Macaca fascicularis: one gene and its partner. The protein of the gene in region 1 purifies or fractionates together with the protein of each later gene. This does not show direct contact. Links are inferred from orthologs where the notes say so. Each region holds a gene or a part of one and is shown on either strand. Other genes may lie near its edges.

The links. Proteins that work in one complex are often made in the same cells at the same time.
Region 2: the proteins of BMS1 (region 1) and RCL1 purify together in Homo sapiens (co-immunoprecipitation; 4 studies listed by BioGRID and IntAct, with this or other methods). This does not show direct contact. The link is inferred for Macaca fascicularis from reciprocal best matches to the Homo sapiens genes BMS1 and RCL1.

The regions. Positions count from the first base shown.
Region 1 is NC_088383.1:52,040,519-52,044,683, reverse strand, and holds the start of BMS1 (ribosome biogenesis protein BMS1 homolog), read right to left. Parts: upstream 2,801-4,165; 5' UTR 2,753-2,800; exon of another isoform or gene 2,733-2,752; intron 1,174-2,732; 5' UTR 1,141-1,173; coding exon 965-1,140; intron 63-964; coding exon 1-62. UniProt on the Homo sapiens protein: GTPase required for the synthesis of 40S ribosomal subunits and for processing of pre-ribosomal RNA (pre-rRNA) at sites A0, A1, and A2.
Region 2 is NC_088389.1:94,285,422-94,288,921, forward strand, and holds part of RCL1 (RNA 3'-terminal phosphate cyclase-like protein), read right to left. Parts: intron 1,490-3,500; coding exon 1,314-1,489; intron 1-1,313. UniProt on the Homo sapiens protein: As part of the small subunit (SSU) processome, it plays a role in 40S-ribosomal-subunit biogenesis in the early pre-rRNA processing steps at sites A0, A1 and A2 that are required for proper maturation of the 18S RNA.

The DNA.
Region 1 (4,165 bases):
GCTCCAGTGGAGTTCGATCAACCACTGGAATATGATGCTTTTTTGTCTTCAAATCCTGAGTCCTATTCATTAAAAATACATAAATAAATAAATAAATAGTAAACTCACTTTCAAAATAGAGTAAAAGGTATCAACTTCATAAGTAAACTTTTTTAGTACATTTATATATATGAGTACTTTAGCACATTTTATTGAGAGGGCAACAGACAATATATAATTAACTTGTCCGTTATTAACTTGTTAACTTCTGGCCCCATCCAAATAACTGCTGTTCAATAAAGATGTAACAAGACGACTTCAATAGCATAGAGAGCTGAAAATTAAACACTCCTTAAATCTGACTGTTTTAAGAGTGATTTTAATAGTTTTTAAAAAAACCAAAAGGTAAATACCGAGGCAGTGCATCATAACAGAGCAGAGGCTCTGGAGTTAAATTTGGCTCTCCTACTTACTGGTTACATGATTGGAGGTAACTTGTTCTCTTGACCTCAGTTTTCTTACCCATAAAATGAGGGCAAGAATGATTCCTACTCTGGTAAGGCTGCTGGAAGCATTTAGTTGAATAATGTTTAAAGTATACCGCTAGGCATATCACAAGGGCACACTAAATAAAGCTATGTTAGTATTAAATATTGTAATTTTTGTATTTTATATTACAACTATGTAAAACATACCTAGGGGGAAAAAAGCACACTTATCACCATAGAAACAGTTTAAAATTTAGGAACAAACAAATTCTATAAATTCTTGCATCTTGGGCAATAAACACCAACCAGTGTGCAGATGCTGGAGGCAAGGCAGCTTCTATGGGAAAGCTTCTCACGTTTTAGTGAAAGCCACACACCACGCATCTCCATGTCCTTTGGAGCTGGACTAGACTCATGAATCCAAATGTCACCTGTGAGAGGCTCCTACTATTTAAAAAGAATCAATGGAAGAACGATCACACTGTACCCTAACATACCTGTGAAAGGATCGAGCCATCCGCACAGCAGACTGAACTGCAAAAGCTTTGGGATTTCTCTTCCGGGCATCTTCTTCGTCTCCTAGCTGGAGATCCTGCAGATGCCGCTTCTTTTTCTTTTCAGCTTTGGGCCCACTGTTTTTCTTTCTGTGTTTCTTCTGGTCTTTAGTCTCCATTGTAGCTATTTACCAATAACAAGTAACTCTAACCTACAAGGAAGAAGGTTGGGGTAAGGAGGTGGGAGAAGCATTTTACAATCCAGGCAATACCCAGGGAAAAACAGTAAATTTCATTTATTTCTTTATGAAGAGATGATGTATTTATTTACTGAACAAGGGTAGAAATTGCTTAACCATTGCCAATTTCATTTCTCTCTGTTATGCTATAAATTAGATGAGTTACCTCTCCTAAAGTTACATTTTATTGCTGTTACTTTTTATTCATCTTAAGTGTCAACATCAGCAGTATCTATTTCTGCAAGGATAGAAATATTCTATATCTGTACTTTTCAGCCATTTAGCCATCAGCCACATGTGGTTACTTAACAATATACTTAGGGAAACTGAAAAAATGAATTTTTAATTAATTTCATTCTAACTCTAAAGTCACATGTGGCTACCACACCGGACAGCTCAGACCTAAGTATCAACTGGAGTAAAGAAGTGGTTTCCCAACTTAAACTAAAACTTACATTTTAATAAAAAAATGTAAAACGTTTTTATGAACTTCCAATATGATCGCAGTATTACTTTTAGTACCTGTTGACTCTGTAAAACTCCTAAATTACAACTTACTTATATACATTTGAGAAATAGCAATATCTTAGCACATTTTATAAAGAGTACAACAGACAATATATAATTGTCAAGTATTAACTTGTGAGATAGGACTGGTTCTAGATGATACCTGGAGACCCCATGAACTTACAGAGACCCTTCCAGTGATTTCTGAGTTACCTGGGAATCTGTGGCTAATAAATTGGTAATCACTAAATTAGTGAGTTTTTTTTAGGAAATGGGGCTTCATAAAATCTGACAGCTTGATTTAAAAAAAAGGGGGGAGCAGGATACTATTTCATTCAATTAAGGTACTGTATTCATTCAGTTTAATAAATATTTTGTCTGTCTATGATGTGCTAGGCACTGTGCCAGTAAATGGATACAGCTATGGTCTGACTTGCAGAGGAAATCCAAACTAGTATCTTCCGCGCCATGCAATAAGGGCGACATTGGAAGGCTGCACAGGGTGCTACTGGAGCACGGAGGTGAGTCAGAGGCTTCCCACAGACTCACACACCAGCGGAAACAGAAAGTCTTTATATATCACCATAATGTCAAGAACACTGGCCGGGAGTTAGAAAAGCTAGGCGCTAGGAACGCTTTGAAACTGAAGAGCTGTGTGATTTCAATGATTATGTTTCTTCTCTGCTATATTTTAGTTCGGAACTTGTACTAATGTTTCTCTCCCTGTCCTTTTTTGGTGGGAAAAGCACAATTTCGGGTCAACAGATCCGACTCAGGACTAAGTCGCCTGCCGAGACCAAGTCGCCAGGAAACTACGTCTCCCAGCCACCTTCCCTCCCTGTCCGGGCTCTCTGCAGGGATTCATCCGGTCACTCTCCCAACTACCACAGGACACCTCCGGCAGATGAGAAATATGCCGCTCCTCGGGAGCAAAGATGACCCGGAGGACCGGGGAAGGACCTTCCCACGCGCACGACTCGCGATCCTCCCAGTGCCCCAGAATCAGGGACTCCACCGCCGCCTACCCCAGCCCGCTGTACTGAACCTGCTGGCAACTGCGACTCCTCAGTTCAGCATGGACACCGCCGGAAACGGAAATTCACCGTCGCGCCGACTCGCCGGAGGGAAACAAGAAGGCAGAAAAAAGAGACCGGCGTGGGGACGGCTTTCAGGGCCTGAAGAAAGACTGCTGAAAAGCTGAGTGCGGACGCAGGCGCAGTCCACGCAGTGCGTTTCACCGGGTCCGGGTACTTACCGAACGCGCTCCACCCCGCCCTCGGAATCTGCGGCCTCAACTTCCGCGGTGGGACTCTGGAGCAGCGAGCACCGCACTCGCCCAAGTCCTCGCCGAAGGCCAGGGCGGCTCTGCGGCCTGGCGCCGGTTAGTTAGTGTGGTGCAAAAGCCGGAAGGAGACACATTTGGTCTTGGCCTCCCGGCAATCACCGTACCAGGGACGAATGGACTATCGCTCGATTTGGAGTCCACTTCCTCCTCTTTAAAGATGACAGATGAGGGGAATCTCGCGTTCTGGGGTGCCCTAAAGCCCTCTTTTGGCAGGGCGCGGGGTCTTACGCCTGTAATCCCTACACTTTGGGAGGCCGAGGCGGGAGGATCGCTTGAGCCCAGGAGTTCAAGACAAGCCTGGGCAACATAGGGAGACTACCTCTCTCTTTCTAAAAAAAGAAAAAAAAAAATTAGCCGCGTTGTGCCGGGCGCCTGTGGTGCTTGTGGTCCCAGTTACTCTGGAGGCTGAGGTGGGAGGATCGCTTGATCCCAGGAGGTGGAGTTTACAGTGAGCTGAGATGAGCCACTGCACTCCAGCCTGGGCGACAGAGCAAGACACTGTCTCTAAGAAAAATAAATAAAATAAGGCCCTCTTTTGCCAGGACCAACAAACCCTGAGGGCAGGGACAAACTGACCAAGCCCAAACTGCCTCGCCTTCCCTGCTCCCAGGAAAGGGCTTTCCCTGCTCCCAGGAAAGGGCTTTCCCTGAGGGAATAGAGCATCTTGCCATTTTTTTCCTGCACAGCTTTGCCTTCCCAGGGATCCGCCCGTTGCCACCTGAGGAAATGCCTTGGAGTCCATCTAATCCCCAGCCCAGCTACTTGGGATGCCTACAGAGCGTACATTGTCAGAGGATGCATCTTCCTGTAGTCTTAGAAGGTTTCTTTTCAATATGATCCCGCTGGTGCATTCAAGGCTTAATTCTACACCAAAAACTAGGCCCACTCCTGTCACGAGAACCCCAGGCATCAGGTCCTCTCACAGGCACCTTGTTCTGGCCTTCAGCAGCCACCAGGTATTCATTCCGCATATGCTATATACTGGGTGCTGGACTAGAGAGGCTACCTACGTGGCACATGCTTCCCTTATCCGTGAAGAGCTTAGAATATTGTAACTTCTTCACACTACACCGCTTACTTCTTGAAGATTTCAGTATCCAGGTAGATAATCCT
Region 2 (3,500 bases), on another chromosome or scaffold:
CCTTCCCCTCTTCCAACCTAAAGGTATTTATACCTCTTCTCATTCTTTTATGCAAAGAACTCATTTCCTATAGTCTTCTAGAAAATGCAAAAAATAAAAATAAAAAAACACTTAATTAAATATTCTAAAGAGTTTACGCAACATTCCTTTACAGCTTAAGAATTCCAGATCTTGTACTATACTCAGTATCCCAGGAAAAAGAGTTTATGCAGCTAAATTTCCAAGAATTGAAGAATAAGTTTTTATTGCCTAAGAACATATTAACAACGTTTATACCCTAGTAGGTATCTTGGTGAATACCAGCAGTCTCTACTTTGGGGCTCACAGCATCACCTCATTGGTCCTCCCTGAGTAGAAAAGCTACATAATTCACATTCTGCCTCAGAAGCTACCCATTCATTGGTCTTGGCCTGTAATGGTAAAGACAAGCATACTACCTCTGTCTGGACTTTGCATCATGGCCATCAGTTTTAAGGTATCTTCTCTGACAGCAGAGCATCCAAAAGCAGGGAATCCACGCCTCCCTACAAGGGAGGAAGGCCTGGACAGGACTTCTCTAGACTTCTCTAATCTCTCTGTATCTCTCTGACATACACACACACACACACACACACACACACACACACCATCCTAGAATGGCACGAAGACAGTTGTGATCATAATAAAAAGTTTTGCTTGATATTAAACCATTCTCTCCATATCTGCAGAAAAATTAGCATGTTTAATAAAAAGTTTGCTCTGGCATGGCTCTTGGTGAAAAAAATAAAATAAAAATGAAAAGCTTGCTGACACCCACAAACTACCAAATCTCACACATTCCTTTCCTGACTTTATGCCCTTTTTCTATCTGCAAACTCTTCTCAGAAAACAAAAGCCCTTGAGTTTATGATTGAAGCCTGGGTAAGTCAAGATTATGCTGTAGCAATGCCAAGGAACTATGATCTCCTGCCCAAAATTTGATAGGCTGCCCTCTAGCCTCAGCTACCACAGGACCTTACAAAAACTCCACTCTGACATACTACAGCCAACAGAACTATAGTTCATGTCCACTATGACTGCAAGCAACTGTTTTGAAGGTTCTTAGATAACAACAAAAGGCGCCTGGGTAACTGTTAACAATAGTCCTGAATTTGATGACCCTAAGTTTTGGTTCATCTGCATCCTGGAGTGATTAACCTCTAAATCTCAAGGTAAATAACAAAAAGAATATACATTTGAAATAAAACTGCTTTATGAGGAACTTTTGTCTCACAAGTCGGGTTGTGACAAGAGACAAAACAAAAACCACACCACGGTTTGTTCTCAATACTCACTGAAGGGTCAACCTGATCATTGGTCACTCCTCGTAGAACTATTTTTAACGGGTGCTTCATAAATGGAGCCAAGCAAAGAAGACTCTCCAGGTAATAGCCAATGCCACGAAGGACGCTACAGTCATGTTCCACAGATCCACCATACAGGAGGCCAGGCTGATAATATAAGGTTGTTCCTTAAACCAGAAGAAAAAGAGCCACATTCAGCAGGAAAAAAACTAAAATGTCACAAAGGTAATGAAGGCAGTGAGTTCCAAGGGGAAAGTCTGACAAGGGCATCCAAGAGTGCCTGAAATGCCATTGCTAAGAGCCCACACTTCACTCCAAAAGCTGACTCACTATTGTCAAGCCCCTGTAACAATAATAAACTGTGAATGTAATTTAATAATCAGTAATAAATTAAGCCCCTCCCTAAGCCATCTGAGTTGCCAAAGTCATGGCAGGGCATAGAATAGAGATCCTAATAAGCACCCTAGTGTCCCAACAGCACACTAGGCTGACAACAGAGGGGAATTACAAATGATGTGCTTAAATCATCACACCAGCAACCAGCACCCTCCAGGGCTGCTGAAATGAGATTTCTCATACACCTCATTCACCAAACATGATGCCAAGAAAAGGCAAGTACTTTATGGCATTCAATGCCATTAATAGTAGCTCATTTAATTTAATATTGATACATGGAAATGCCTAATATGTTATGGCTTTAGTGGAAACTACTATCTTTATTCACTTTTCACAAAATCATATCATTCAAAAAGCTTTGTTTTGAGACAGGGTCTTGCCCTATCCCCTAAGCTGGAGTACAGTGGCATGATCACAGCTTGCTGCAGCTCGACTTCCAGAGCCCAAGCAATCCTCCCACCTCAGCCTCCAGAGTAGCTGGGACCATGCCCAGCTAATTCTTTTTTCTTTTTCTTTCTTTCTTTTTTTTTTTTTTTAAGAGAAAGGGTCTCACTACGTTGCCCAGGATGGTCTTGAACTCTTGGGCTCAAGTGATCCTCCCACCTCAGCCTCCCAAAGTGCTGGGACCCTAGGCACATGCCACCACGCTCAGCTGATCTTTTTTTTTTTTTTTTTGAGAAAGGGTCTCACTATGTTGCCCAGGCTAGTCTTGAACTCCTAGGCTCAGCTTCCCAAAGTGCTGAGATTACACACATGAATCACCGTGCCTGGCTATCCAAAAAGCTTCTTACGCCCATCTCAGCTTCCCAAAGTGCTGGGATTACAGGCATCAACCACCATGCCTGGCTATCTAAAAAGCTTCTTACTAGATTTACATATCAATGTAAAAAATTGTAAATGATCTAGGAGGACATAAATGGTGGAACAGGGTATTTCTGCTGCACAAAATATTTTGCAATGCCCTCTGGCACAATTTACCAAAAATATATTTAACATTAGAGGAAGGAGGCATGTTCAGTCACTTAAATGGGAAAAAGTTCTTGGGACTTTCATAAAATAAATTTAGGCTTTACTATAATCCAAACAATCACAATCAGGACCATATTCTTATCAAAGTAATGAACACTTCTCAAATGGATTCTGGGTCCGTTATTTGAAATAGTTGTAAGGGTCACAAAACCATTCTTTAGATCAAAAAAACAAAAAAAAAGACTATATATTCACTACATCCTTCAAATCTGTATGTTTATTTATACAAATTAACCAAATGAGAAACTTGCCAGATTATCAAAATGAAGGCTTTTACTACTCTGATGGGGAAAATTAAAAGGACATGTAGTGGGAGCAGAATCACGTAAATGTCTTACTCCTCAATCTACATTGCAGATATGACTAGAAAAGAAGAGAATTGGGCCAGGCGCTGTGGCTCATGCCTGTAATCCCAGCACTTTGGAAGGCTGAGGTGGATGGATCACCTGACATCAGGGGTTTGAGACCAGCCTGACCAAAGCGGTGAAACCCTGTCTCTACTAAAAAATACAAAAAAAAAAAAAAAATTAGCCAGGCATGGTGGCAGGCACCTGTAATTCCAGCTACTAGGGAGGCTGAGGCAGGAGAATTGCTTGAACCTGGGAGGCAGAAGTTGCAGTGTGCCAAGATCGCACCACTGCACTCTAGCCTAGGTGACAGAGCAAGACTCTACCTCACACACACACAAAAAAAAGAATAGAAATATCTGTCTTCCAGATCACCAAAAAAGTTACTGAAAAAACCTCCAGCAAT